Linked DNA regions of Rhinolophus ferrumequinum. The protein of the gene in region 4 interacts with the protein of the main gene of each other region in a pairwise test. Links are inferred from orthologs where the notes say so. Each region holds a gene or a part of one and is shown on either strand. Other genes may lie near its edges.

Region 1 (7,263 bases), on a different chromosome or scaffold from region 4:
ACTTTGGGGGGAGGGGGGAAGTGCTGACCTAGGTAATTTCAGAAATGAATGGGGTCTTGTAAGACTAAAGGCAAAAGGAATTGCACAAAAGCACTGTACTCTAGTTGATAAAGTTGTTTCCCATAGGGGTATGGGTTAACAATTCACAGATAGGGGGGGAAAATCTGTGCTCTGCTTTCATTTCTGTGAGGAAATCAGGCAAAATACAAGCAAACAATAAATGACCTATCAGAGAGCAATAAATGCTATGAAGTAAATAAAAATGAAAAGTAAGGTAAAAGTGATCAAGAGGGCTACTCTAATTGAAAGCTTAGCAGATCCCTCTTTAAGGAGATGATATTTGAGTTGAGACCTGAGTGGAGCCTATATACAAAGACAGGCTCGAGGCAGGGATAGAGCAGGGTGGGAAGTTCCAGAAGAGAACAGCAAACTCAAAGGCCAAAAAGAATAAGCTTAATGCGTTTGAGATATATCAAGTAGATAGGACAACTGCCCTGATTGGAATGAACTAAGTAACATATTCTGAAATCTAGAGGTAAGAATATGAGAATCATTTAAGAATCTCAAATCTCTTACTAACAATTGTCACCCCAATAAATTTTAATTTAAAAAAAAAAAAGAAAAAAGAAAGGTTGAATTATAGAAAAACAAACAAAAAAAGAATCTCAAATCTCTCCAACACTGACCACCAGGAATCCATTAATGATAATTAGATCAAGATCTTAATTTTATGCTCCCCTGTACCCTCCCCACTGTCACAGCTATCCATCTCCCATATGGTAAATATTGTATTTTGAACTGCTTCATCTTGCCTCTAAAAACTACCACGCCTATGATCCCTATTTCATCATGTCTCTGATAGAAGTATCCCTAACAGATCCTATTACTTCATATAATACAACCACAGGTTAAAAGCAAAGGCCCTGGACATAGACTAACTTGGGTTCAAATTCAGGTTCTATCTGTTGTACGCGAATGATCTTGAAGAAGTTGCAAAACATTTCTAAGACTCAGTTTCCTCATCTGTAAAAAGTTATGAGGATTAAAAATGATAAAACGTGGTACCCAGTGAGTATTCAATAAATGTTAGTCACTGCTAGAAGTAGTTGAGCATTTATATTGTTCAAGAATCAGAGCTGGGCCAGAGGGGTTATGGAAACTACAACTTGCTAAAGCAAATTGTTTGAGAGATAAAATTGTCAAACTCCCTTAGGTCAGAAGCTTTGTCTTTTTCTGGTTCATTAGTCTATTTATTCCCAGACTCTAGAACAATCTTTAACACACAGTAGGCATCAATTTCAATATTTGTTGAATGAGATTCCATTAAGTCAAAGTAACCTAAGAGAACCTTACTTTACTCCAATATAAAGAAAGTTTTCATTCCCCATCAAGATTTTTAACAATATCCTAAGGCATTGTTAAAGATGTTTATTATTTTTAATTGCCTCACCAAAACCTAGAACAGTGTTTATAATAGTAAGGTACTCAAATTTATTGCAATTAAAACTCTGCTGCTAAAACTGAGCTGTCAGCTGTAGAAGGCTATACCACTGTTCGTAATTCAAAGCTGATGATCAAAACTTTAAAAGTAATAAAGTATAAGGTATGTTAATTGTTATGGAATACCTTTGCCTGCCATTGCCTGAATGAACAGACTTTAAAAACTTATATTAATTTTTTCTCATGAGTTTACCAACTAGGTTTAATTTTTACTGACAAAATTAATTGATTTCACCCTTCTCTATATCATTAAATTTTGTAAAAACATTAAAGTTTGTCCAGTCACTTAAGAAAAGTCCAAATCTTTTAGACTTCTTAAAGTTTTCAAAAGATTGGTACCTTAATTTATTGGCTCTTTAGGTCAAAGAAGGACTTTTCAGGGTGATTAAAATGGAGATAGGAGGGGTTCACCTCTCTAAAAATGAGTTTTCAATTACTATAATTATGTATAAAATAAGACAGGCAGCATTTCTGGGCCAAGATTTGATGCCTTGGTTCCCACGAGAATTAAATTAGAGCCATGCATAAATTTGGGGCAAGTTCTGCAAAATTCACTTCATCCTCTATTGATGCTAAATAAAAAACTCAGTTAAGATTCACAACGCGAATGTTTTCTAACACACATTAGCCACTCTGGCAACACCCCTTTCATCATCTTCTATCCCAGAAACAAAACGGGATGCATTTAAATCCTGCCTGACAATTACCACGATTGCAGGGTAGCTCTCTCAACAGCCAAAGAGTAAGAGCGAAAAAGTAAGAATCTCGTTCAAGTACCAAGGCCTGCTCAACGTGAACTGCTGGTGATTGTATTCGTCCCTTAAACCTTCAGAGCTGGAAAGATACCTCAACTCTACTGACACCTTTGGAGAGGGGAAGCAGGCGTAAGGGCGGAGCAGTATGATCGGAATTGTTAAAATCGCAGCAAGTCGGAGGGGACCAGGTGCGCAGGCAGGGCCCGGTACCGCTGTCCTTGTCACGCTCTGAGGCGACCAGGCCCTGCGCAACCACCACGGCCCTCATAGGCTCTTATTCACTCATTCATTCATTTAACAATTACGCGATGGACACTGTAGCAGGGCCGTTTCACAGGGTCCCCGCCCCAGTCCCGGAACACCCTCAGCCGCCAGGCGCGGCCCTGCGCCTCCCGCATCCCTAGGACGCTGCCGGCCGCACCTCGCCGCGGCGCGCTCGGGTCATCCGGAGCCAAGCCCCGGCCTCGGCCGCACACGAGTGCCCACGCCCCCCGCCCTTCCAGTTGCCGGTCCCCCGGCCTCCGCCCCGCTTTGCCGCCTCAGACCCGCCGGGTTCGTGGGGAGAGGGAGGCGCGCGTCCGTGGAGCCCCCCGCCCGGGATTCAGGGACCCTCGGCGCGCGTGACGCCGGGATCCAGGGGCCTGCGCGGGTGGGTAGGGGCCACTGCCCACTCACCTCCGCCGGGTCAGAACCAAGGGGCCTGCTCTAAGCCGTTTGAAACCGCTTGGGCCGCCGCGCACCCCGCAGTGTCCTCGTTGTTTATTGGTCCTCGACGGACCGCCCATCGCCCTGTTATTGGTTCATTTGAAGGGACAGTGGGCACGCGCCGCCCGCAGCCTTAAAGGAGCCGCGCGCGATCTTGTTTCCTTGGGGACCTGCGCTGCCTGTCTGGTGGGGAAGAGGTTCGCTGGAGCGAAAGCTGCCGACCACCCGGCAAAGAAGGGCTAAAGGTGTGTGGAGAATTAGTTGTGCATCCCCAGCCGTCAGCATGCTTGCTTTTTTAAATTATAGATATTTAAGCGGCTGTCAACACCTGGCAATTTTTTAAAAAGTCATTTCATTCAGCAGATATTTGTGCAGCTAAGTGCATGAGGGAAACAAGAGAAGCAGCTGGGGTATAATGGAAGGAGCAGTAAATGAAGCAGGATGCTGGGTTTGGTCTTGGACCTGCTCTGTGTAAACCATTTTCTCAGTAAATCATCTGGAGCTTAATTTCCTCATCTGGAATTTAGTTTCCTCATCTGTAAAACAGGATAATGATGTTTTCCTTAAAAGCTTAGTGAGGCTTTAATATAACTAAATGAATGTCTAAGAGAGGCCTTTTGAACAGTAACACATTCTGCAAAAGCTTAATACTCCTCTTATTTATAAAATGAGAGGCTTGGTTAATATGACCTCTAAAATTCTTATTCAGCTCTACATTCAGTGTTTCTAGGAATAAGATCAGGTCCTCATTTCCAAGAAATTTGCAAAGGACACTGGTCAGAGGAACAAAACAGAGTAGTCACTAAAATTCAAAGCAGTTAAGACTATATAACAGAAAAGCTGTAGATACTTAGTAATGGGAGAAATTTGATGAGGAGGGATCTGTGAAGGGGATGGACTTTTAATCTGGGATTTAAAGAACATGTAATTACCTAACAGGTTAAAAAATAGAAAGGGAATGGATAAAAGTAATAAAACAATAATTTTTTTAATCTATCAATTTGGCAAAGATGAAGAAGTTTAACAACCGTTGGTTGGCCAAGATTTTGAGAAACAGACACTCAAACTCACTGTTGGTAAGAATATTGTGAGGCTCCAGAGCCAGTCTCCCCAGAATGTGCTACCCTAGCATGCAGATTATTTCGAGCTGAAAACAATTAAAGCCCCAAAAATCCGGGGAGAGTTTTTTACCTCCCCCCCTCACACCCCCACCCTACCTGCCGAAGAGATTCGGATGGAAAAACATGCTTCAGGAAGGGAACCTTAGCATATTCACCTTAGCACATATGAATGAAGTATGGCAGACGGAGAGGATCCAAGAAAAATATGTTCCACTAGATTCCCCTTTGTCCCATTGTTTCTGGGTGGCCCTGCCAGAATTTATTTACCAAATGTTTGCTCTTTCTCCCTACCTGTGAATTGCCTACCTCCACCTCCTTAGTCCAAAATGACATATATACCTCATTTTGCCTCACTGTCTTTGGAATTATCATCCTTATGTGACTTCCCTGTGAGCATGTATTAAAATCTGATTTTCTCCTGTTAATCTGCTGTATGCCATCTGAATTATTCCACCAGCCAGAAGAACTAAAGGACTAAGGAGAAAGTCTCCCCAGACGGAGAGTATACTTGGTGCAAACTGGTGCAGTTATTAAAATGTAAAATGTACATAACCTTTGGCCCACTAATGCCACTGTTTAGGAATTTGTCCTATAGCTCTATGCAAGTATGAAAAAAAAAAAACGTCCAAAGATATTCATTGCTTAAGATAGGGGAGGAAAAAAAGAAAACCTTGGAAATTACACGTCCATTCATAGGGAACTTGTTTTATAAATTATTGTATATTCAACTGTTAAAAAGAATGTGGTTAACCTGTGCTGGTGTAGGAAAATACACACATTTTGTTTAATTGAAAAAAGGAGGCAGGCTCGGTGGCTCAGGTGGTTGGAGCGCGGGCTCCTAACGCTGAGGTCGCTGGTTCGATTCCCACATGGGTCAGTGAGCTGCACCAGTGAGCTGCGCCCTCTACAGCTAAGATTGTGAACAACAGCTCTCCCTGGAGCTGGGTGCCCATGCCAGGGGCTGCTGTGTGCTGCCAGGAGCGGCTGGTGGCCAGTGTCGGGTCAGCAGCCATCATGAGTGGCCAGCAGCCAGTGAGCACTACTGTGAGCTGCTGTGTGTGGCCGACCAATGACTGGTGAGCGACCAATTGCAGTGCAAGGCTCATAATACCAGCATGGGCCATGAGTTGTGTCCTACACAACTAGACTGAGAACCTACAGCTTGAACTGGAGTTGGGGAGGTCAGGGGAGGTGAAAGAAGGGGGGAAAAAGGTAAGTTGCAGAAAAGCACATATAGAATGACTTTATCATATATGTACAGTGGTACCTCGGTTTTTCGAATAAAATCCATTCTGAAAGACCATTCTAGTTCAGAAACATTAGAAAACTGAGGCACAGTTTCCCCATAGAAAGTAATGCAAAATAGATTAATCCGTTCCAGACCTTTAAAATCAACCCCTAAAACTGCAAATTTAGCATGAATTTTACTATCTAATGATACCATAGATCCATAAAATTTACAGCGTTCGTAAACCGAAATGTTCGTCAACAGAGACTTTCGAAAACCGAGGTACCACTGTATGTGTATGTGTGTGCATGCCTGAAAATGGTTAAAACATTTCTGGAATTTCAAGAAACTATTTAATAGGGTGACTTGGTAGGGAGGGAAATGAAATTTTTACCATTGTTTGTTTGTTTATTTATTTATTTATTTATAGTAGAAGGAGAAGGGAGAACGTCCAGTAGCAGGAAAAGTAGGAGCCGGGGCAAAGAAAGAAACAAGAAAGTGCATTGTATATAGGGAATTGAACATGTGGCTTTGATTTTAGAACAGGGTTCATTTCGGGAAGTAGTAGGATACAAGATTAAAAGAGAAAGTTAGGAACAATTCTTACAGGGTCTTGAATACTAGGGTAAGGAATTCATACTTTATTTAAGTAGGAAATGGGGAGCTATTGACGGTTTCTGAGCAAGGGAGTGACAAAATCAAAATTGCACGTTGGCAAAAGTAATTAGCTTGATTGTGTAAAATGGATTAGATTCGGAGCCTACTTAGTCTGGTATGAGGTAATAGCCCTGGAAATGATGAGAACAGATTCAAGAAAGAGTGATGGATTTGGCAACCAACCAGATTAAGTGCAAAAGTGAGGGTGGGGCCCATTTAGGGAAATGAGTCGAAGAGTATTCCAAGATTTGAGCCTAGGGACTGGTAGGTGGTGATTGCCCAGATGGAAGTAGAAAGTCAGGAGAAGCCAGTCTCAAAGGGAAGGCAAGTTTAATTTTAGACCTGTTTACTTTTTAGGTACCAATGAGACATTCAAATGGAATCATTTAAGTAGGCCTAGGAAATAACAGAATGAGAGCTGGGAACAGAGAATAGGACTCAAGTGATATAGATTTGTGAGTCACCTCTGTAGGGTGAAAAAATAAAATTGTGGTGGTAGATGACGACAGATTCATAGGTAGGGGAAGGAGAGAAGAGCCAATCAGAGCAAAAAGGTCACAGTAACCTGTGAGAAGTGGGCTATGAATATATAGAAATAGTCTTCTTCAGTCATTGATCATTGGCATGTTTATTTTATTTAAATATTATCAGAAATAAACGGAAGATTACATTTAAGGAGAGGGTGATGGTAACCTGAAATTTGCTCAATAAAGCTCGTATGGAGTGTGGGTTCCAGAGAGTTTTAGAACAAGATGTCAAAATCCCTTTTTTGTTTTAGATGGTTTAGGTGCAGCCCTTCTAGAAGGTAGGCAATAGATGTCTGATTCCATTAATTTATTCACTCATTCATTCAGCAAATATTTATTGAGCACCTAGTATGTGCAGGGATTGTTCTTGGTACTTGGGATAATCAATGAACAAAATAGATAACACAAAAAAATCCCTCCTCTCCTGGAGCTCACATTACAATGAGGACACATAGACAATCAACATATAAATATATACTATGTTATTACACAATATGTGCAATAGGAAAAGAAAAAAGAATACAGGGTAAAAGGAATTGGGAAGTGGGGTTGGAAAGACTATAATTTTATAAAGGGTAGTCAGAGTAGTTTTCGTTGAGATTACATTTGAGCGAAGACTTGAAGGCAAAGCTGTTAGCCCTGAGTATATCTAGAGGAAGAAAGTGCCAATCGGAGGAAATATCTATGTAATGATTCTAAGTGAGGAGTGTACCTGGCAGGTTTGAGAAACAGGAAGGCCAGCATAGCTCAATCAGAGTATGTACTTGGCA
Region 2 (7,184 bases), on a different chromosome or scaffold from region 4:
ACCCCGATCATTCCCTCCCCCCTCCCTCCAGGACCTCGGTGGGGACATGCTGGCCGGGCGGCAGGCCAAATACCTCCCAAACCAGACATGCAGCCTTTCTCCCTGCATCAGCCTTCAGGGGAGAAGCCTGCCCTGGTTCTGCAAGTGAGAACACAGAGACCCGGGGGACCGTGGGCTATGGGGTGGAGCTAACAGGGGCACTGGCACCGAGCCAACAGAGGGCAGCTGGAATACAAATTGGTCTGGGGCTCTGGGTTTCTGCACAATGGCAGAAGCCCCGTGGGGCCCGTTCACCCGTGTCAATGGGGAGTTAATGGCAGGGTGAGAGGGACCCCATGGAAGTAACAGCAAGTTCGAGGGGAGCTCTTCGGAGGTGACAGCGACTACAAGTCCTCATCACTGTTACTGCAAGATGTTGGGGAGGGGAGAATCAGGTGGCCCGCTGAAACCAGGCAGATTTGAAAGGCAGTCTTCTACCCTCAGATCCTGCAGGGACAACGGCTGTCTGGGCCTGAGCCTCCCCTCCCGGGAACTGTGCGGTGTGTCAGGCCTCCGCTGGGGACGCAGACTCACTCAACAAGTGAGTCTGCCGCCTGGTAGGAGACACTCTGAGGAAGGAGCAGCAGCCACACCTCTTAGGGCCAAATGGCCCTAAGTGCTTTGCACACTCAAGCTGACTTGGTTTCCCCACGGGCCCCATGCAGTGAAGCTGTCCTACAGACGAAGAAATGTATCCACCCAAGGAGGCAGACCCAGGCAGGAAGAGAAAAGATGAGGGCAGAGAGAAGCTCCCCGGGATTGGCTAAGCGGAAACCATGCTTCTCCCTCAAAGAGGGCCTCTCCCCTCTGGCCCCGTGACACTCATGTGTGGCTCCATTAATTTTTCACCAGAGTAACGTGTGTGTCAAGACACTGACGGTCCCCTGAGGGACACCGCCCTCCCTCCCTCCCTCCTTCCTAGGCCTTGGCATCCCCTTAATGCCTGGCTCAGGATGAGCCAGACTGACTGCCGTGGGCTGCTGCGAAGGGTCTGGGGACTTGGAGGGACAGGAACCGGGGTGAACACATGGTGACAGCAGGAGACTGGCTGACATCTTTCTAACCATGCCGGGTACGCTCTTAGTGCCCAGCACGGGCCTCAGGACCAGTGATGGTGGATCACAAAACGCCTCCACATCCTTTGAGTCCCCAGACAACAGCCTATTGAGCTTGCCTGGAATGCTGGGTGGGTGGGAGATGAAACACACCCGGTACCGGCCTGCTCTACAAGGACCGTGCTCATCACTAAGACGGCAGGTGAGTGGGTCTGGGACAGTAACACAGGCCCGGCAAGGAGGCCTCTGAGCCCCCTGGCTGCGCTCACCTCTCATGTATTCGATGGTGCCATCCAGCACAAGGTTGAGGAGCGGGTCAAACCCTTTCAGGATTCCACTGGCTTGTGGGAATGACCAAAAAACGAAACAGAAAGGCGTAAGATCAAGAGTCATTCGGGAGGCAGGTACCAACTGCCACTAAACTGCATACATTAAAATAGCGAATTTTATGTTCTGTGAATTTTACCTCAATTAAAACAACAAATAGGCATCCTAGGTTATGGCTCCTTGACCAAGTGATGTATCTTGGCACCTGAGAGGGGGTGTGGTCTGCGTGCCCCGGACAGGCCACCCACCCTTCCACCCTGATGCCTCTCCCAACCATTCTCTCTGGCCTCAGACCTTCACACCCACCTGTGCTTCTACTTGTAACGCTCCACCTCCCACCCCTCCTCTTCCAGGCCTCCCTTTGCCCTGGTCTCACCTAGTGGAGGCAGGTACCCCACTATGTCAGCACTCTGCTTGCCCATTTTCCCTGAAAGGTGGGGACCAGACGCTGTATTGCCCTCTCTTCACTAGATTCCAGTTAAGCACCATGTTAACACATAAAGCTGCAAACTGTGACAGGTGCTACCAGAAGGTTATGACGAAGGGGATTAGCCCCGGCTGGAGGGTCACGAAAGGCTTCCCAGAGCAAGGGCCTCGAGCTGAGAGCAGGAAAACGACTCTGGCAGTTAACCAGGTAACAAGTTAACCTCGTAAGAGTACTCCAGGCAGAGAGAAAATAGTACCTTTACAGCCCGGTGGCCGACGAAAGCTCCACTTGTTACTCTGAGGTACAAAAGGTTTGTCCTTACCCTGGGACAATGGGGAGCCCCAGAAAGCTGAACAGCAAACAAGATTTGATTTGTTTTTAACAGGTTCCTCTAGTCCACACCGGGAGTCTGTCTCACTGTAGGGCTCTGTCGTCTCAACGGGGGCGAGTCTGCCCCCCAAGGGACACTGGGTGAAGCCAGGAATGCTGCTCAACACCCCACGGTGCCCAGGACCGACCCCACGACCTAGAACATTCGGACCCCAACGTTAACAGTGCGGAGCCTGAGGAACCCTGGTGTAGGGAGACCAGTGAGGAGCTGCAGCGACAGAACCGCACAGGAGGCAAAGTCTCAACCTCGGACGACCCACTGTGGGTTGGATTAAGTTTGGTCCCCTTTCCATGTCTCAGTTTTCCCAGCCGCAGAAGGGGTATACCACCTCCGAACTCCCGGCGTCGCTAGGAGACTTGCGCGAGTCATCTGGGCCAAGCGCCTAAGCTGGGCCCGGGCATCAGCTGTCACTATCGCCGCGTGTTACTTTTCGTTAACCGTTCGGAGGGTGCGGAGTGGGGGGGGCCTCACCTTCGCGGCCTCCCTGAAACTTCACCCGGATCGTTTTGTCGATGTACTTGGACAGATCTAAGATACTCTCCTTCTTCTTCTTCTCTTTGTCCTGCAGGAGAAGCAGAGCGTGTGAGGCGAACAGCGCCGCCAGCCCTGGCGCAGCCCGCCCCTTCGGCCCCGCAAGCACAGCCTCGCGCTCACCGCCATTCTGCTGTGTCGCGCCACTCTGCGCAGGCGCCGGCGTCGTGCCCTTTGACCCCGCCACTCACGCACGCGCAGAATGTGTACGGCGCTTGCGCGGCGCGGCGCACCGCGCTGGGGCGTTGCTGGGAAACATCTGGCGACGCCTGCGGCGGGGACCAGCAGACATGGCGGCGGCGGCACCCGTGGCTTGGCTCTCGGCGGCCATCCTCCTCTTCGCGGCCCAGGTGAGGGCTTCGCCGGCCCCGCTGGCCCCGCCAGATGCGGTGACCCGGCCCCTCGGTCCTCGGCCGCGCGCACGACCCCCGCTGGGCCCAGCCTGGGGGCAGCCTCTGGGACCCGAGCCCCCCGCGCGGACGGTCCGCGGGCCCGGAGCCCCGCCGTGACCTTGCGGGCCTGTCTCTTGCCCGGCTTCGTTCCCCGCCTCGGAAGCCCTTCCCAGCCGCTGCGTCACTCATTTCCATGCGGGTCTGAAGTTGGGGGCCCCTCTTCGTCCCCCGGGCCCTGCTGGTCTCGGCGTCCTAACCGCTGCGGAGATTCCCGTCTGGCTCCGTAGCCTTGACCTGGTGGCTGCGCCTCAGTTATCCCTTAAGCACGATGCCAGCGCCCACCCCGGGGGTTCTGGTAAGCTGTCCAGCGCGGCACCCAGTGCCTGGCACTGTCGGGGAGCGGCCAGGAGCCCAGCCCTGGAGGGGGGGTCGAATTTCCTTCTCACTTTTACTCCATGACCTTGGGCAAAGGAGTTCCCCCGCTTTGGTCGTCAGTTGCTCCTCCGCAAAAGGAGATAAGAGTACAGCGCGGACTCAGCGAGATAGTGCATGGGGTGATGCAGGCGCAACATGCTACTTTTTTGTCATTTAACGTTAAGGGTCTTTGGTGCTGGTGGGGGACTGACCATGAGATGGCTGATGTACATTGTCATAAGCTCATCTTTTATTTCCAAATCCTTCCTCTCCCTGGATTCAGCAGCTCAGGGAATGGTGCCCGTAACAGCTGTGGAAACACAGCCATTAACCTTGACCTGCCCACTCCAGCCCACCACCAGCTCTCCGCTGTAGCTCCCAGCGGGCGGCTAGCGTTCTCCCTGTGGCCGCTTTTGTCCGCCACATCCCAGTCCATTCTCAACACAACAGTAGTGATCTCTTTCAAAGTGTCTCAGGTCTTGTCCAGATGACAGCTTTCAGGTGGCGTCCTGGTGCATTTGGGAGGCCTCTGATCCCTCTGACCAGGAAGTGCCCCTCCCTTTCCAGCTGTCCTCTATTGGAGGCAAGCTGCTTTGTTTTGTTTTGTTTTTTCTCTGTTTCCCTGGAATGCCGGGGTCATCCTGGTGTCAGCTTAGCTGTTGTCTCCCCCCAAGCTGTCCGGGATGCCCCTGTACTTCCCCCGAGCCTGTTTAATCATCTTCCTCACTGGCCTGAGCAATCTGAGGGCCAGGAGTTGGAGCTCTCCACACGTTTTGAATGAGAGCAGAGAGAGGGGATGAAGAGGCACGGGAACACCTCAGAGCGAGTGGGAAGGCTTCTCAGAAGCAGTGGTGCCCCAGGGCTGTTCTGAGGTAGGAGTCGGAGTTTGCTAGGTGGTGCAGGCTGAGGGAGGGCACTGCCGGTGGTCGGAGCAGCGCGAGCTGGCGGAGGTGTGAGAGCGGATGACTTATTTGGGGACGGTGAGGGGTCCACTGTGGCTGGTGTGGAGGCTGGTCTGATGCCTAGGTCCTGAGATAGATGTCACTCTAAAGGAGGCCCTGGGAGTGCACTGGAAGGGCAGGCTGGGGTTCCCCCTCAGCTCGAGGGCCACGGGAGTAAATGATAAGGACAGAGGGTAAAGGGGCAGGCTGGGTATGTGGCCTCCCTGGGCTGGGCAGGGAGTGGTGGACGGCTCATGGTTCTGGGGCCTTTGCACTTTATCCCAGGCAGGCTGAGGCTTATCCTTAGCATGTAGTCTTGGGAGAGAGTGAGGAGCACAGTGGGGCCTGCTCTTCCTAGAACAGACCCCTGGATGTAAACACACCCTGACACCGGACGGTGCCCCTCGGGTGCTCTGGTTCTTCCTGGTACCTGCGAATAGACTCGCTCCCCACTGGGCCCTAAACTCACTCGCTACCATTTTGAGATCTGGGCGATGGCTTTCACCTTCCCCAATAGGCCCACATCCCCCAGTTGCTATGAGATGTGTAAACAAAGGCCTGAACAAGAGGCTTAGCAGCAGATCTTAACTAATGTCAGTGCCACCCTGCCCTCCTCCACTAACCCCACCACCACCTGGCCCAGGCCCCCTACTGCTCCACCAGAACTTCTGCTTCCCACCTGGGTCCTCGTTTCTCCACCGCCTCCCAGAACTCACCACGTCCTATGAGAAGGGAGACTGCCCCAGCCTGGGCTCTAGCCTCCCTCAGATCCCCAGAGGTGGATGCTGTCATACTCACCCTAAAGCACAGGTCCCCTGGAAGTTCCTGGACCTGCCCGGTGTTGTGACGTGTCGGAACGTGGCTGGTCCTGGTTCTCCAGGTGGGGATGGGCCGTGCTGGGACACGGGCACGTGCAGCATTGGGTCTTTTTGACGAACTTCTGGTTCCTTTAACACAGCAGGCAAGGAAACCACATTCAAAGCGAAACCATGCCCTCCCTAGCGTTGGACACAGCACAGGTTTAGTTGTGCGAGTCGTGGGGAGGAAAGTTTGTAGGTGTGCTTGTGTATTCCTAAATGTCCTTTTTATAAAGAACTAGTTTCTACCCATTCCCATTTTACACAAAGGACAGTTTTTGCCAACTACCCAGCTCTCATGGATCAGGGCTCAGCAAACATTTTCGGAAAGGCCCAGACTGAATATTTTCGGCTCTGCGGGCAACTGTCCAACTCTGCAATGGTAGCCGAGAGCAGCCGGAAGCCCTGCATACAGGCACAGGGCAGCCATGTTCCAATAAAACTTTATTTGCAAACACAGAAGGTGGGCCGGATGAGGCCTGAGGATTGAGGGACCGTACACTCCCCGCAGTGACCCAGAGTCAGGAGGTGGCTCTGATCATGGGGTGTCCCATCGGAAGGGGCATACACTGAGCACGGTACTTGGGGGCATTCTGGTGGGGAGAACCTGGAAGAGGGACCTCCTAATTCTGCCCCCCTATTAAGGGACCGAGGAGTCATGAGAAGTGTGTGGAGGTTCTGTGGGAGCAGAGGCAGGTGGGCGCAGGATACTGCCTTAGTGAAGTTCTCTGACACCGCCTCCGTCAGCTTCAGGCAGCCCCCGCCCCACCCTCCTCTCCTGTGAGTGCTCGTGGCAGTGGCCCTACACACCCAGCTTCTTTGGAGCTTGGTACCTGTGAGCACTGCTTTGGCAGTTGGCACCTCACTCAAGGTGACAAAAGGAAGTGCCCGAGATGACTTGGGCTAGCTGGAGCATTGGCAGTCGGGGACTGTGGGGCCGGGACTTGCACCGGCGCCTGGTGTCAGCCTCCGGGCTGTGAGGTCAGGGCGCCTTCACCACCACTAGGTAACCAGGCCAGGATGAGAAGCTCCCGGAGGGCTTGGCTGTCTGAGAGCCAGTCCGTACCCCAGGCTTGGTGTCAGGGCCCACGGCCCATCAAGGTGGACGCCCCCACCTTGGCAAAGCAGCATCCGTGCTATGGGTATGGGTCCTGAGGTACCGACTGGCATCCATCCCCATCATGTGCCCATTGTTGGCAGCAGCTGCTACCTGTTTGTCTCCGTGGCAGGCTCTCTGGCTCTGTCTGGAGGCATATGTAGCCCAAGGACAGCAAGGCTGCAAAAGGATGTGCCCCAGGAGCACGAAGCGTGCAGAGCGCGTGTCGGGCCAGGAGGGTGCAGGGCCGTGGTCACACCAGCTTTCCCTGGGGACACTTGTCCCTGAGCTTGCAACCCTCCCTCGTTTTCTCCCCCCTGAGATACGTACGATTGTGCCCCATGTGTCCTGTTGGAGGGAGGAAACCAGCCCGACCCCCATGGCTGTCCTTGTTTGGTCTGACCCCTCCCTGCCCCATTGCTCCAGGTGACCTGTGAGTACGGCATGGTGCGTGTGGTCTCTGAGACGGGGGGCCCCAAAGGCAAGGACTACTGCATCCTTTACAACCCACAGTGGGCACACCTGCCACACGACCTCGGCAAGGCGGTGAGTACTGCCGGCCCTCGGGCTCGGGCTTTCGTCTGTCTTGTGGCTGTCCCCCTTCCCTCCCCGGTGTCCAGAGAGGCCCTCTAGGAGACTCATCTGCAGAAAGCCAGCTGGGGGGGTAGGAGGACCTCAGCTGGGAGACCAAGGTAGGATTGGGCCACACTCAAG
Region 3 (7,970 bases), on a different chromosome or scaffold from region 4:
GGGGAAGTAAGTTTGGGACAGGGAATCAAACCCAGCTTAATGCTGTATTACCTCCCCTTAATGCTATGTTACACTGCTATAATGCTGTCAGGTGGGCTTACATTTTTTCTTTGGGGTGGAGGGATCAATTTGACCTTATGTGTGTATAGTAAAAGCCCTCTTATTGGGCTGGTAGATGAAATTTCAAGTAAGTCACAGTAGGGAATTAAATGACACTGAACTGTTTTTTTTTTAAAACCTAAAAATATCAATCTATGTTAAAATGGCAGTACAGTACTTTCAGTTTTTTGCTCTGGGTATGGGTTCTTTGATTGGAATTCTGTATCATTTTTTTCCACAAACCACTCTTACAAAAGTATGGTCTACAAATTTCAGTTTCAGACTTATTTGAAAGTAGAGTAAGATTATAGACATTTAAGAAGTAATTTGTAGAATCATTTTTTTTTTTTCATTTTTTCCAGCCTGTGTCATCTGCCTTTAATTTGACAGTTGTTTTTATTGAGTCTTTCCAAAGCATTCCACCGGATTTTTGTACAAACACCTTTTGCATTGTATGTTTGTATTTCATTGGTTTATGTAATGTTTAATTAAATTATGTAATGGCAATACCTAGTATAACTGGTATAAATAGCTTGGAGAACATGACCCTTGTTATGCACACAAACTTAGGAGGAGAGTGCAATAGGGTGAGAGTTTCCTAAAAAGTAGAGTCTACCAGCTTCAAAAGTTCAGCTTGTGGTGGGCATTGTTCAGTGTATTTTACTATGGGAGTACAGATCATTGTTCCAGTAAGTTGGTTAAATACAAATCAGTTAAGAAAGTTTCTACTAGTATATTTTGATGAGATGTTTTATGTGCAGCTGGCAACTATAGAAACAATTCCTACTCTTTGAGCACTTAATTTTTAGGGAAGATACTGTTTAGTAAAAAAATACAGAAATTGAGTAAAGGACCGTATCCTATAGAGTGGATTATGTTGCTAGGTGGGTTAATGGGAGGACCAGTAGATTCTTGGAGGAAACAGATTGTGAATTGCAAAAAAGAAAAGCAGTTTGGATAGAAGGTGATCATCTACCTAATTCTGATGAAACTAGAGGAAGAATATTGAACCTTTGTTTAAATCTTATTTAGGAGAAGTTATAATGGGATTTTAAGATTGATAACCCCGTTAGAAACGTGATTGAATGGTTGGATAGCTTAAAATATTGTAGCCAGGTATTTTCCTGGACTGGATTCCACAAAGGCATTATCAAATTGGAAGCCTGATACATATCGTCACACATTGTAGAAATGAGGGACAAAAGGTGAAAGCTGTAAGTGGCTATCACTGAGAATCCACTTGTTTAATCTCTGGATTTAAATTGGAAAGTAGGAAAAGTATATATTAGTGGAAAATGGGTCATCAGAGATAAAAGGGGCAGTCAGTAATGAATAAGAGTTTTTAAAAATTTTATCAGACTTTAAAAAAAACTAAATCTTTGACTAAGTTCTATTTCATTTCTGGGAATCCTAAATACTACAAATAATAAATTTGAAAACAGCTTTATGTACAAAATTTATTCCAAAAAATTGGGAACAAATTTTCTTATAAATCATCTTACAAGAATCATTATATATGTAAAGTTCTTAGCCCAGTGACAGGTACATAGTAAGTGTTTAATAAACATTACTTACGAAGTTAGTAACTTCTAAAGAAGAAAGGGGAAAAACTGACTGATTCTGTTAGAGTGCCAATTTTAATTGAAATGAAAAGAGCACCTTTATACTAAACTTTTCTCTCAACCTTGATTTGTTCAAAACCCTGTGGTATCATCCTACAATATTTTTCTGATATATGTGTGTGTGTGTGTATATATATATATATACATATATATATACACATATATATGTATATATATATATGGTATTTAGTAATTGGGCTCCTCAAGCTGTCAGCAGCTGTGAATAAGTAAATCTAAAAATAGTCCATTTAATGTTGCCATGTAGATTCCAAAGATCAAGCCTAAAGATGTAAATAAATTATTACGTTTCATATAGGTAGTATATGTATATGGCTCAAAATTCAAAAGATACACAAAGATGTACATTGAAAAGGTTAAATCTTCTCCCCGCCCCAACAGTTACTGTTACCAGTTTGTTTTGTATCCTTCTAGAAGTATTCCATATATATACAAGTGTATGAAAATATAAGTACTCATTTTACACAAATGGTAGCATACTTTACACATTGTTCTGCAATTTACTTGCTTGCTTTATTTTTTATTTAACTCTTTACATACCAGTATATTACAGTACCACCTCATTCGTTTTAACGGGTTTACATGTATGGATACACCCTAATTTAACAACTCTTATATTAATGGACATTGTGGTTGGTTGTGATAATTTGCTAGTACAGAAGTAATGTATGCTGTAGTAAATATTTGACATGCTATTTCAGAAGATATGTTGGGTTATTAATGTTGGGTTCTGGGTCTAGTGGTGCCTTATTTATTGAAGGTCTGTGCTTCATAAAGACTCTATTAATGAAGATTTCCTTCTTGCCCTTTACTATTCTGTTTATGGAGTGTCAAACCCAAGTCCCTAGTGGATATAATGGAAATTGTTAATAATAACATGGGAATTGTACAGTATTGCCAAACAGGCTTCTCTGGGATACTAAGTGAGTATTTTTGCATTATATGAATCTTCCTTAATTTAGGAGAGGTGGGTAAATGAATAGTTACAACTTATTTCTTTCAAGAGTCTATCCTTAAATAAAGTAGCCAGAATAAGATGGACAGAAGGAGTAATGAATGATAGGATATACAGAGCGTTCTAGAGATAATAGATGATCCTCTAACCTTTTACTTTGCTTGGCATTGTGGTCTTTGCTGAGTTTGACCAGTAATAAATAAATCTCCAATTGAGCATTTTAATAGGATGTAAGCTTAATTTTAAATTAGATTACTAGTTTGGAATGAGACCTAGGATTGTTGCTAGGAGCAGAGGATAATGATAAACATTTACAAAGAACAGTTTATAAATCATTTCACATACCTTACATAATGATTCTTACAGCAAGCCTGTGACTTCGATATTACTGCTGCTTTCATTTGATAGATGAGAAAACTGCAGCTTGAAAAGATTATATTACTAGATGCCCATGATCACATAGTTGTTGAGTGAGAGCCAGGACTCAAATCTGATTTTCTAATTTGACCTGCTTGAAATACAAAACTTGCTTAGTTCATTGTATCTACTGTTCTCTCCCCTCCTTTTTTTTTTTTTTTTTTTTTGGCCATGGAAACAGAATCAACAATAATTAACTTCAAGAGCTATCACTGTTATCAACACCATATCAACCATATCAACAGTTTCCTTTTTTTGAATATACAATGAAAAGTTTACCATTTCATCAGTTATCACTAAGTTTGGTACTCCAGGAATGGTACCATGGAATCAGAGCCCCAGTTCTTTTTTCTGTTAATCCCTAAATGACTGCTTGGCCTGTCCTTTTTTTCCCCTTCTTCTGCATATCTTAATATTTGGGCAGGTTAGTGATGAAGTGAGAGGGTTAAACATTGAGTAAAAAAACGATTCAGTGGAGGTATGTTAGCCTGATAACAGTATAGAAAAAGTGTGAAAGTCGGAATGTTCCAGTGATTGACCAAGCTTTAAGACTGGAATTTCACACAAGATCCTTGGGCCTTAAAGTTGTAAAGGTGTAGGAACAGGATAGTACTTCTTTTTCTCTTTTTTTAAATGTATGTTGTTATGGCACTAGGGAAACTTGAGTACTAGGCAGCCAGTTATGTGCTTTGGACTCTACCAAGGATCTGTTTAGTGTGAAATTCTGGTACAACATTTAATGGTTTTAACCCCAAATCTTTCATTGAAGATAAGCAACTTTTAGTTTGATATGCAACTTTCATTGAAGATACGCAACTCTTCCTAGTTTTGGAATGGTTTACTTCATAACACTTCCTGGGAGGTCCAAGATATCCTACTTTGCTGTGATTCTTCCATAATTTGAAAGTCATTCTTTGTGGAACACTGGGATTGTTAAAATAATGGAGTATTGGAAACAATGTTGTATGTATGCCTACTATGTCAGGCTCTACATTTATTAAGTCAATCCTAGGGACACTCCTTGAGTATTGTTATCCCCATTTTATAGATGAGAATAACTGAGGCTAGGTATATCACTTTCATCTAGTTAGGGAATTAAGAATGCACCTACATAAACATAACATGAAACGATAAATGTTATTAGTGTCAAAGCCAAGATTAGGTAGTAAGGATGGCCCTGTAAAGCAAAACTAGCATTTTCTGGATGGACCATAGGCACATTACGTTATGCCTGCTTCTACAAATGAACTTCCCAACGTGGCCAGACTTGCGTCCCTAGGAGTGAAACCTTGGGGGTGCGAATGCACTAAGGATTCCTGTGTGTGACGGCTACAAGCACTCCTGGTGGAAAGCCGCATCTGCGTGCCCCTGGTGCGCTTCATTTAAGGAAGTTGGCTGGGGGAGGGGGCTTGCCCTGCGGCTGCGTCCTGCCCCCCTCGCCCTCCCCCTCCCAGCTTCTGCTGCCTCTAAACCCCGGAGAGCGGAGCAAGCACGTTGAGATTCCTCGGAGGGCCTGGCAGCGGCTGCTGGGCATGCTCAGTGGGCAGGACCCGTTAGAGTGGCGAGTAAGGAACCGTTGGCTGTTCCCCCGGTCTGCCTTCACCGGTTCAGGCCCCGGCCCTGGGCTTTTGTGTGCGCGGAGCCGCAGCTGCCACTGCCTCCTCGCGGGGCCATCCGACCCCAGATGCCGTCTGGCCTGTCCGGTTTCCGCCGTTAACCTCGCCGCGCGGCCGGAGGAGGAGCGGGGCGGGGCGGGGCCGGCGGGCCGGCGGCCGGGCGGGCAGGAGGGCCCTGCCCCGGGTTGGAGTGGGTGCGGGGAGTCCCGCGGGGGGTGGGGGGAGGGGGCGGGCGCGGAGTCACGGGGTGGGGTCACCGGCGGTGGCTCTGGGAGGCCAACTGGGAGGGGAGGGGGCCGTGGGGGCGGTTCGGCTGAACCAGCCCCGGCTGGGGAGCAGCGGCGACTCCGGGGGCCGGGCCAGGGCTTTCCGGGCTTCGGCGAGGCCGCCGCGGGCCCCATCTTCCGGCGGTCGCCGGAGTTTGTGGTGATTGTTGCTGCCGCCGCCACCGCCCCGGCTGCCATCTCCTCCTCCTGGGCCGCCGCCACCTCCTCTTCTTCCTCCTCCTCCTGGGCCGGGCCGATCCCCTCCCCGCTGCCGCCTCCTCCTGGGCTGGGCCCGCGGTGTCTCGTCCCCTCGCGGAGCCGCTCCTGCCGCCGCCGTCGCCGCCTCCTCATTCATCCTCGTGCACCATAGGCGGCACAGGCACCAAGATGTCCAACCGAGTGGTCTGCCGGGAAGCCAGTCACGCCGGGAGCTGGTACACAGCCTCAGGTAGGGCCCCAGGCCGGCCGGCCCGCCCGCAGCCGCCGCCGCCTGGCCCCACGCCCGGCTCGCGGAGGTCCGCGGCCCTGCCCCGCGCGGCGGCGGGAGGGACGAGGGCGCGGACGGCCGCCGGTCGCGGACCGCGTGGGGAGGGAGCGGGCCGGAGGCCGGCCTCGCCGCCTCCCCCACCCGGGCGGCATCCCGCCGGGCAGCCTCGGGCTGGCCGCCCTCACGCTCACCCTAGAGTTGGGCGAGAGGGAGAGTTGCCGCCCCGGGCCGCCTGCGCCGTCCCCTGGGACCTGGCTCGAGGAAGGAATGTGCTCCCTGTGCTCCTGGACCCGAGCCTACTTGTCGCCTCCTCCGGCTGCCGGGATGCGGGCGGCCGAGCGCTGCCACCCCCGGGAGGACGGTTTGCCCGGCGACCGAGCCCAGCTTCCCCCACCCGCAGCTGGGCGACCCTCCGCCCTCTTGCCCACGGGGGGACGCGCTCTCCTCCCCTTGCCCGCGGTCCGAGACCCGGGGAGTTCTCGGAGTGTCTCCGTGCACACCCGATTCTGCTCGCCGTCTGCTGGAAGGAAGTCTTCTTCTTTCCTCTGGCAGTTTAGAAAGCGGCAGCATTTCCTCCTGCTCTTTAAGGTGCTCAGCTGTCTTTGAAGAGTGAAGGGTAGTACTTTCCCACGTTGCCAGACGAGAGACAAGGTCTCCGCGTGTGAGATGTGGAAGAGGAGGGCCTTTTCTGGGATTTGCAGCTCCGTATGTTGGGGGTAGGGTGGAAGTATTTCTAAGCAGAGGCTAGAGGTGGCCTCCCAGCTCTTTTGTCAGTGTTTGCATTGTTACTGTCATTCACGAAGGGGGCAGCTGGAGATGGATCAGCACTTTTCCTGAGCAGCCTTGCCAGCCTCGAGTCGCTCAACACCAAGCAGGTGCTGGGACTACCTAACAAATTATGTTTTGAGTGAATTTCGTCTTGTGTCGACACTTTAAAAACATTTTCGAGCTCTGTAAGTAAGTGTAGGGACTTTCCCTTTAATAAAGCTCATGATAGAATGACTGTTTTCTGGGATTACTTTCAGGAGTCACATTTCTGGTAAGTTAACAAAAGAAAGTTCCACTGTGATTCCTAATAGTTTTCAGTCATTTGGTATTGGCTTATCAATTACTGGACTTAACTTTAATGTGAACCGGGTCGTGTTTCCCTTTGCAAACAGTTGGGTTGGATGGTGACATGGTTTGTGAGAAAACAAAGATTTGGAAGAAAATTTATTTCTCTGAGGTTGCTAAACTAGCTCATTAAATACATGCATTTTACTGACTCACTGAAGATTTGTTGCTCAGAAGACACAAAAAAATCATGATGATTGGATTTGCAAGCCTAACAGGTAGCTACAGTTTGTATTAAGCGTATGACATTTAATGGTTACAGTGGCTCCCCTTCATGGTCCTAAAGTACTTTATAAACAGTTAATCAATTCTCACAACCTTAGAATGTCAGTTAAGTTTTTCTTATCAACCTAAGATGTGCGTAAGACCGAACTAAGCCAGTGGCAGAATAGGAATTGAGAAATGGGATTCCTTGGTTACTGGGTTTGTCCTCCAATTAGTGCATTATTAATATTAAATTTATCAATGATTATTACTCATTTCCATGTTGTAAATCACTAAGTTTTCTTCAATGTGTTTTGAAGAGTTAAAAAAGTCAGTATTCACTTTCATGGTCATCTTTGGGTTAAGTTCTTTTGCTTTTGTTTTCTATGCCTTTGTATAAATGTTTTAATTTTTTTTGTAGTTTGCACTGAAATGTGGGCAAATGATTATGGAGGAATTTTTATAGAGTCTTGAACATTCTTTGTGTAGTCAAATAAGGTATATTTCACACTTCGGATTTAAAAGAAACTTCTTCAGTAATTTCAAGTCGAGGAAGAATCCTTTAATCCAGCTCAAAACATTCTGTGATTATAGCTATTCATCATTAATGAACTAAAATTAACAATTTTCTTATCTTTTTAAAATATATTCTATTTTCCTAAATTCTGAATGAAATCAATAATGCCATTTTGGTAATGTGAATTGTCGCAGAGAAATCTTAAAAAAAATTTCAGACCATGTGTGGCGTGTGTGTCTGTGTATGTGTGTGTGTGTGTGTGTGTGTGTGTGAGAGAGAGAGAGAGAGAGAGAGAGAGAGAGAGAGAGAGAGAGGGAGAGATACCTTAAACTTGAGTAATAATGGTGAATTGAAAGCAATTTAGTTATAAAAGCTTATTTTGTATTTTAAAAATAAGTAAAACTAGAGGTAAGTAAACTTCGACTTGGTTTAGTAATTCCTTTAATATTATCCCAGTGTACCTATATTGATAACATCGACCATTGGAAAAATTCTGGTTATATTATTATTGTTTCCCTAGTAAACTAATCCTAAAATGTGTAATAGGAGAACAGTGTGCTCGTGGATTGTCATTCTGTGGTTCCTGCAGCATTTACATTGTGTCCATAGAGTTAAAGTGTTCAGTTACTGATATAAATAAGGGTGAAATCACATTT
Region 4 (7,963 bases):
TTATATTGTCATCCCTCTACATAGGATATCCTTATTTTGATAATTTTCCCAAGATGATCTAGCTGATATGTGTGGCAGAGCTGGGATTTGAACCCAGGGAGTCTGGCTACAGACCTGGCTCTTTTCCCTAAACTCTACAACCTCTCCAGAAGAGGTCAAGTTTATCAGGGATACAGTTTGGACAAGAATGCTGACTCCACTTTTTCACAAAGGCACCCTTCCTTCCATGGAACATACTGTCCTGGCCTTTTCACTCTGTTCTTCCCAGCCTATTCTCGAGCACATCCTTTTCCAAAAATATAAAATAACTCAACTCACACAATAGCCCCCTTACCTCTGTCAAAAAGAGCTGCAAAAATACTCAAGGCAGTGTGCTCGAACTCAGGGGATGGAGCCCCAATCCCACTTTCACCACTAACTGACTGGGTGTCCTTGAGTCACTTAATGTCTCTACCTTTAGGTTCTTCATTAGCAAAGTGGGGATCATGCCGAAGGGGGCTTTACGGGACTTTTGTGAGGAGTACATAAGCTAATCTGTGTAATGTGCTCAGCACAATGCCTGGCTCAATAAGTAAGCTGTTGTCATTAAAGAAGATCAATAATCGCTATCACGATTATTGAGCACGCAGTCCGTAACTGTGAGCAGAAGTGAGAAGGGCACATTCGGAAAAGACTCAGAGAGAGGCCAGGTTGTAATCTAAGCTCTCTGGGGTTCTGCCCCTTGTCTACCCCTGCATGTGAGGATGGGCTACCGGAGATGGAAGAGCTCACCTCCTGAGCCTGGCTGGCACACGCCTCCAAGTGGGCTCCCCAGGGCAGGAGATGATCATTAAGTAGGAGGCGGATGGGGAGGGCAAAGTAAGAGCCTAGACAGGGGCAAGCTAGAAATCCATCTATAAATCAACTCCGTTCCATAAGCAGTCATTTTCAGCCTACACAAAACATTCCTTGTTCCAGGTGAGCAGTTCTTTCAACTGACACCCCAACATATGTCAGGTTAAGATGCTTTGTTGGAAGTGGGGAGAGGAAGCTCCTGGAGCACCCACAGGCTCCTGGTTGAACTCTTCCCCAAAGGGGACCCTGCGCCCTTTCCGAAGGGCAACGATGTCCTTAGACCACAACTTAAACATTTTTCTAAGAAAAACAAATGTATATAAGATACCATCCCTGCATTAGGGAGCTTAGAGTCTAGTGAGCTAGTGTTGCACTAGCTGGCAAGTGAGCTCCAATGTCCCTGGTGGAAGGTACAAACCTAACAAGACATTGTTGCTGCTTCCTACTGAACCTGGAGACTTTTTAGTTACAAGGGATCCCTCCACGTTCATAGTGCACACTCTCAGGAATGGGAAGAACGCGCTTACATTGTTCACTTGCTTCAGTAAAATAATCTTTTAAAATTAATTTACCTTTCACAACACCTCTGTGAGGTTGGGTTATTACTATCTCATTTCACAGATAAGGAAACTGAGGACATTTACATTGTCAAAAGTCATCCAGCTAGAATGCTGGAACCAAGATTCAAACCTCAGTCTTCCTGGTATCGGAGCATGGCAGCATGGACTCCAGACTGAGGCTACCTCAGTTCAGATCCCTCCTCGGCCACTTACTACGTTCTGTGTCTCCAGCCTCAATCTCCTCATCTGTAAAATTGGGGTGATGATGATGATGATTCCCACCACCCTTGGAACGGTGGTTGGCATACAGCAAGTGCTCAACAAAAGTTAGTGGCTGTCTTGGGATCACCAACTAATAGGTTATGACTAGTTTTGTTCAATTCATTCTTCCACTCGTATTTAGCCTGTTAGAGAATGGTGCACAGCAGCATGTGACTAAGGAGCAAAATGTGTGGTTCAGAGAAGTCAAAGCCATAGGAGTGCAGAGAAAGGGCATTTGAAATGCTTCATTTATGACTGCTTCATAAATTTTCAAGTACTCCTTGTGCAGAAGCCATGCTGAGTTCTCTGAGTCAGTCCAATGTCAGCACATGTGTTGCCAAAGCTAGCCTTCCAGCAAGGACAGCTGAGAGCACGTCCCTCAGGAAGCCAAGGGCCACATGCAGCTTTCTGGGTACACCAGGTATCTCTGCCACAGGCAGCTAAGCCTCACACAGTGGAGCCCATAAATGTACAGATGTGGCTCAAGGTGCCACATCTCCATGCCTGGAGGGACAGCTCCCATACATGACGGTGGGCAGGAGAGAGGGAAGGACAGATCCTCAGGCCCTGGGGAACAGCGGGCTCCCAGTTCATGGTGGCAAAATGCCTTTTCTAGCCCTTCCACTTCAGTCATTTCTCTCTGAATCTATTCAAAGCCGAAGGTATTGTATTTACGAATGCTCCTTGACATTCCAGGGAGTCCACAAAAAAAAAAAAGAAAAGAAAAAGAAACAAAGAAAATTAGGGAATTCCCAGAATTCTGCCATAGCTCTTTCCACACCAGAACTCAGACAAAACGTGTGCTTCCAAGGACCCAGGAATTCAAGTTAAATTTGGAAAGAGAGTGGGAAAAGAAATGCCTGACTTTAGCCTCTGCGTCCACCCACCCACGACACACACCCATCAGCGAAAATGCCCTCAGCCCAAGGTTTAAAGGACAAGCAACTCATTTTGCTCAATAAACGTCAAACGATAGCAAGAACGCCCAGTACCCTGGTTCCTACCTCTTCGGCGGTGGTTCCAAGGTAGTTTCCCTCTGGCTTTTGCACCACCTGCTATAGCAAATCCATCATCTCTCCTTGGGAAGCCGAGCTCCACTGGTCAGGGAGGGGTTCCGCGGAAGGAAGCAGAGGGCAGGACTGAGATCATTGACGTGGGGAGGGGATGGTCTCCGAACCGAGCACTTGGTCACAGGGAAAGGATGTTTTGTAATTTTGGGCTTGAATTTCCAGAGACAGAACAGGAAATGTCCACTGGGGCTGGGACCTCAAGAGAGAAATCAACTAGAGTCTGCTTTCAAAGGGGGACCTTCTCGAGTGCTCACAACTGCGGCCCGTCTGGAATTTAAAGCTCCGTCTGAATTCTGGTGCCTGTTCCCCCTTACTATTTCCTCCAGCACTTTTTTTTTTCTTAATGGAACGTCAGCTTCGTTCCTGACATGCTGGAAAATTTTTCCTCTGTCTAAACTTGGCTCAGGAACACTCTCTCCTTGTGAGAGAAAATATTTCTCCTGTTACACAGTTCAGCTTTTTTTTTTTTTTTTTTTTTTAAAGAGCAACTTGTTTTGCCAACTTTTGTACTGGGGACATTTTTTTTCATGGATTCCCTTCCCCCTTCTCCACCCCCCCCCCCCAACCTCTGGATTCCAAGAAATATACACACCCACATCCTTCTGGCTATTTCCTCCCCTTCTGATTGAAAAATAACAATAATAACTTTTAATATCTGTAGTGAAAATACCCTTAAACTATGGTCTGGTAGGTTTCTGACCAGGTCAGCCTTCTGCATGTGCTCATAAGGGCCGCAGTGCAGTCTGTGATGTGTGGCAGGAGGGGTAAGGATTGTCTTCAAGGCCCTCTCTTAGTTCTAGGTCTTTCTATGATGCTAATACAGGAATAGGCTACCTTTCCCAAATGGGGTGCAGTTCCAGAGTACAAACTCTGCCTCCTCAGCTCCCCCAGGAATGGGGCTGGAAGACTCCTGATTATAATTCTGGGAGGAACTGGGGTGGGGATACATGAGGATGAGAAGCCATCCTAAGATTCATTCGTTGGTTATCGCCTGAAGGGTGGCATATCTGTAAATTGTCAAATGACATCAGAAATTGGGAACCTTTAAGGTATTTGTTGACCCCTGCAATAAAACCTGGTAGTTCTCACAGTGCTAATTAGAGATTTGTTCACAAACAGGAAATGAAAATATCTCCTCTGTTCTATGAATTAAAAGATGGTCGGTGATAAATAAATTGTGTAAACAAGATTATAAGAAAAAGAATTTTTTGCCCATTAGTCAGATTAGAAAGTTTCAAATGTTTTAGAAGTATCCTTCATTTACAAAAATTACACTGTATACATAATAGACTGAGGCTAGTAATTTTTAGATTGTTGAATTGATGTACTGATTACATATTATTTTTATCTAATCAGTGAAGCAGGACTGACCTAAGTGATGTTTTTTCATTCTAGCTTGAGTCCCTGAACTTAAAAGTAATTGAAATGCATTTATATTCTGAAATTTAGAGATTGTAACATTTCAAACTCATTTTAGTGTGTGTGGAAATAATTCCAATAAACAAAATTTAAACCCATCATTAAAAGAATTTAACTGGATGCCTATTTTTAAAACATATTTAAACATAATAATAAAATAAACATAGAACTTCCTCACTTGGTTTTTGTCCCCAAATAATCAAGAGTCACACTCTAAAAAGAGGAAGACAGATTGAGTCTATTTGATATGTAAACAATAGACAACACATGTTTTTAAAAAATTGATTGTGCCCTCAATTGAGGTCAAAAATCACAGACTTGTAGCGCTTGCAGCTCCGGCAAGCACAGCTCACCACCGGGATGTGGAGATGTTGCCAGGCAGAACTGGTGAGGCGGCACTTCTAATTCTTACCTTGAGAGCAAGATTCACTGGATTAGTCACCTCTTTTTACTCGTTAAACTACTGTGTTTCCCCAAAAATAAGACCTAGCCGGACCATCAGCTCTAATGCATCTTTTGGAGCAAAAATGAATATAAGACCCAGTCTTATTTTACTATAAATCTGGGTATAATATAATATAATACCGGGTCTTACATAAGACTGGGTCTTATATTCATTTTTGCTCCAAAAGATCCATTAGAGCTCATTGTCTGGCTAGGTCTTATTTTCAGGGAAACACGGTAGCTACTTTGATATCACGAATGTAGACACAAGCATAATGATCTCACACTGTGCAGCAAACGACAGAGCTGAAGGTGAAATGAACACCCAGTCTTTTCAAGGTCAAAGGTAGACAATATTTCACAGAAGACCAAAGCTTGAACTGGTTTGTGGATGAGGGGCCTCTGAATTTAATTGCCTACAGAGCATTGATTGAGTACTGACTGTGTGTGCCAGGTCTGTTTGAGGCCTCCTCACATGAAAACAGTTTTTAAAAAACTTTTATTTATTTTAGGTGTGTTTTTCCAGGACCCATCAGCTCCAAGTCAAGTCGTTGTGTCAATCTAGTTGTGGAGGGTGCAGCTCACACTGGCCCACGTGGGGATCAAACTGGCAGCCCTGGTGTGAGGAGCATTGCGCTCTAACCAACTGAGCTAACTGGTCGCCCCGAAAACAGTTTTAATAGGACAATTCTGTAAGATGTTGTTGCTCTCATTATACAAAATGGGAGCTGACGTTCTAAGAGGTGTATTTTGCAATTTTACTTGTCACTGTTAAAACTGTTCATGATTTGAGTTTTTAAAAAAGATTAATTTTATTCACGCTGCCCATCTAGTCCCCCAAGTCTCTACCCCGTATCATGTTAGAATTGCAAATATCATCTATTCATTTATTTCAGTCAATGAACATTTACTGAACATCTATGTACATAGCACCGGGACAAAAGATGAATGCCTCAAACACTGCCCTGGGGATGTTTTTAATCCAGTAGGGAGAGGAAATAAACATGCCTGTATCATTTGACGCAGCAATTCCATTCCAAGGTATATACCCAAGAGAACTGAAAACATATGTCCACACAAAAAAACTACACGAATGCTTATAGTAGCTGTATGCATAATAGCTCCTGTGGAAACAACCGAAATATCTGTCAACTGATGAAAAGGTAAACAAAATGTGACATAGCCAAACAATAGAATATTACTCAGCCATATAAAGCAATGAAGTATTGATACATGCTACAACATGGATGATTCTTGAATGCATTATGCTAAGTGAAAGAAGCCCGTCACAAAACACCGCATATTTTATGATTTCATTTATATGAAATGTCTAGAATGGGCAAATCCATGGAGACAGAAATTAGGCTGCCAGCAGCTAGGCTGGTGGTATGCCAGGAGTGGAAGCTTGGGGATTGATAGTTAAAGGGTATTTTCTTTGGGGTTTTCTTTCTGTTGAATATGTTCTAGAATTGATTGTGGCGATGGTCGCCCAACTTTGTAAACATACTAAAAACCACTGAACTGTATACTCTAAATGGTATGTAAATTATATCTAAATAAAGCTATTGAAAAAAACAATACAAATAACTTAAAAATAAGAGCAATATCTGTTTATTTTGTAACCCACTCCAACTTCTACAGTGCCATATTCCATGTACAGTTTCTTGCTTCTTTGGCCAATTCTCTTTGAGGTTTTACTTTGAGGAATTCAGGACACTGTCTGAGGAAAGAAAAGATGATGTGGGAGATTCAAGGAAAGAATCATTACTTATAGGAACAAATCATTCTGTATACAGTGATTCTTTGACAATCTTCCTTCTTTAGGGAAACAAATATCCCCAAGCTCTCTCCATCCTGACTTCTACCAAAATTCATAGTCAACAGATTTTTAAAATGTAATTCCACTGAGATTTAAGGAGCCTGACAATGCTTACTATATGTACCTTTAATTAATGAACATACTTTTGATTGTCTTAAGCTAATGAAATAAATTCACTCTAATTTTTCATCTCTCAGAAATGATGAAAACCCATTCTATATTCCAGGTAACCTAAAAGGTACAAGAGCTAGGAGTCTAGCAGAGGAAGCAAGCAAAGCAACAAATGTAGTCGGCAGTTCCAGATGTTACTATAGAAAATACGGGTACGACAAGGGTCCAGTGAGGGCAAAAGTGCATGATGTGGGGAATGGCTGGAGCAGCAAGTGTGGTTGCAAGGAGGTCCTTGGAGTCACTTCTCTAACTGATGGGAACCACTGAAAATTTTAAAACCAGAGAGTGTCATGTTTTAGAAGAGATGTTCTGGAGGTACTGAGAATGGTGAAACTGGTACTTTCACGCTATAATTTCTGGCAATTGGGTGAAAGAGGTTTCTTCTTGTTGTTATTATTTTGAAGGATAGATTATGTAGGCATAATTTAGGAGCAACTTTCTGGCTCCTGAAATATGATTTGCACGGTTACAGAGGGGGAGACAATTCAGCCACCCTTCTTTAGAATCCATTACCCGGATACACTTCATTTCTCTGTATGGGTCAGATGTCATTCCTGCATACGTCCAGTAGATGGAGGCATGGCTATTCCAGCCAGAAAACTCTTTATAAACTTGGTCTTGCATATCGCTCTAGGCAGCTGCGCACCAGAAACGGCTGCCATTTACTCCTTTTTGTACTGCGCAGCAGACAAGACGAGTAGACCAGAATTACGCAATGGAAAGAGCATGGGCTTTGGAGTTGGATGAAGTTGTGTTGTAATCGGACTCTTTGCCTTAGTGGAGTGACCTTAGGCACATTACTTTATCTCTCTGAATCTCAGTTGACACATCCAAAAAGTGAGGATTTCGTAGATCCACAGTCTCTTGTCCACCATTTCCAAACTCCCACACTCTGCAAACCAGAAGCATTTCATAACTCATTCAGCAGCAAGACCTGGCCTATTCTTGGTGTGAATATTCTTACATTTCACTGCAAAAAGGGTTTTCGTGTTTCATTGCAAGGTGCCCCTTAGCCCACTGGGGGTTTTATCTAATATAACATATATTATGCAGTATTACCTTTCCAAAATATGAAGCACACCTGTCTCTGGGGTAAGAGATTGTAGACATGCAGTACCAGCTGTGGTAAAGATGGAAGGAGATGAGTAGTGCAAAGCATCTAGCACACGTTTAGCTCTCCCACCTGAGCCATCAGGTTTAGGTTCTGGAAAACAAAAGAAGTCCGAGGGGGAGAAAAGGCAAAGAATCCATCTTGATGCATTCGTATTCATTCACACTATAAAGATATATTAAGCACCTACTATGTGCCAGAAACTTTGTCATTGATAGGCTTATAGTCTTCTGCTGAGCCTGTGCTGCCCTTGGGGATAAACTCTGGGATTGTC

What was found.
Region 1: the proteins of TACC1 (region 4) and CKAP5 interact in binary tests that used the Homo sapiens proteins (3 or more experiments, as listed by UniProt). The link is inferred for Rhinolophus ferrumequinum from reciprocal best matches to the Homo sapiens genes TACC1 and CKAP5.
Region 2: the proteins of TACC1 (region 4) and LSM7 interact in binary tests that used the Homo sapiens proteins (3 or more experiments, as listed by UniProt). The link is inferred for Rhinolophus ferrumequinum from reciprocal best matches to the Homo sapiens genes TACC1 and LSM7.
Region 3: the proteins of TACC1 (region 4) and MEMO1 interact in binary tests that used the Homo sapiens proteins (3 or more experiments, as listed by UniProt). The two-hybrid records come from large-scale screens. The link is inferred for Rhinolophus ferrumequinum from reciprocal best matches to the Homo sapiens genes TACC1 and MEMO1.

The regions. Positions count from the first base shown.
Region 1 is NC_046294.1:14,201,223-14,208,485, reverse strand, and holds the start of CKAP5 (cytoskeleton-associated protein 5), read right to left. Parts: upstream 3,018-7,263; 5' UTR 2,931-3,017; intron 1-2,930. UniProt on the Homo sapiens protein: Binds to the plus end of microtubules and regulates microtubule dynamics and microtubule organization. Acts as a processive microtubule polymerase. Promotes cytoplasmic microtubule nucleation and elongation. Plays a major role in organizing spindle poles.
Region 2 is NC_046301.1:60,955,937-60,963,120, reverse strand, and holds the start of LSM7 (U6 snRNA-associated Sm-like protein LSm7), read right to left. Parts: upstream 3,008-7,184; 5' UTR 2,900-3,007; coding exon 2,894-2,899; intron 2,802-2,893; coding exon 2,711-2,801; intron 1,436-2,710; coding exon 1,364-1,435; intron 1-1,363. Other genes in the region: SPPL2B (signal peptide peptidase-like 2B), read left to right, coding at 3,061-3,120, 6,897-7,016. UniProt on the Homo sapiens protein: Plays a role in pre-mRNA splicing as component of the U4/U6-U5 tri-snRNP complex that is involved in spliceosome assembly, and as component of the precatalytic spliceosome (spliceosome B complex).
Region 3 is NC_046296.1:49,726,368-49,734,337, forward strand, and holds the start of MEMO1 (protein MEMO1), read left to right. Parts: upstream 1-4,962; 5' UTR 4,963-5,380; coding exon 5,381-5,441; intron 5,442-7,970. UniProt on the Homo sapiens protein: May control cell migration by relaying extracellular chemotactic signals to the microtubule cytoskeleton. Mediator of ERBB2 signaling.
Region 4 is NC_046287.1:61,008,595-61,016,557, forward strand, and holds the start of TACC1 (transforming acidic coiled-coil-containing protein 1), read right to left. Parts: upstream 3,015-7,963; 5' UTR 2,660-3,014; intron 1-2,659. UniProt on the Homo sapiens protein: Involved in transcription regulation induced by nuclear receptors, including in T3 thyroid hormone and all-trans retinoic acid pathways. Might promote the nuclear localization of the receptors.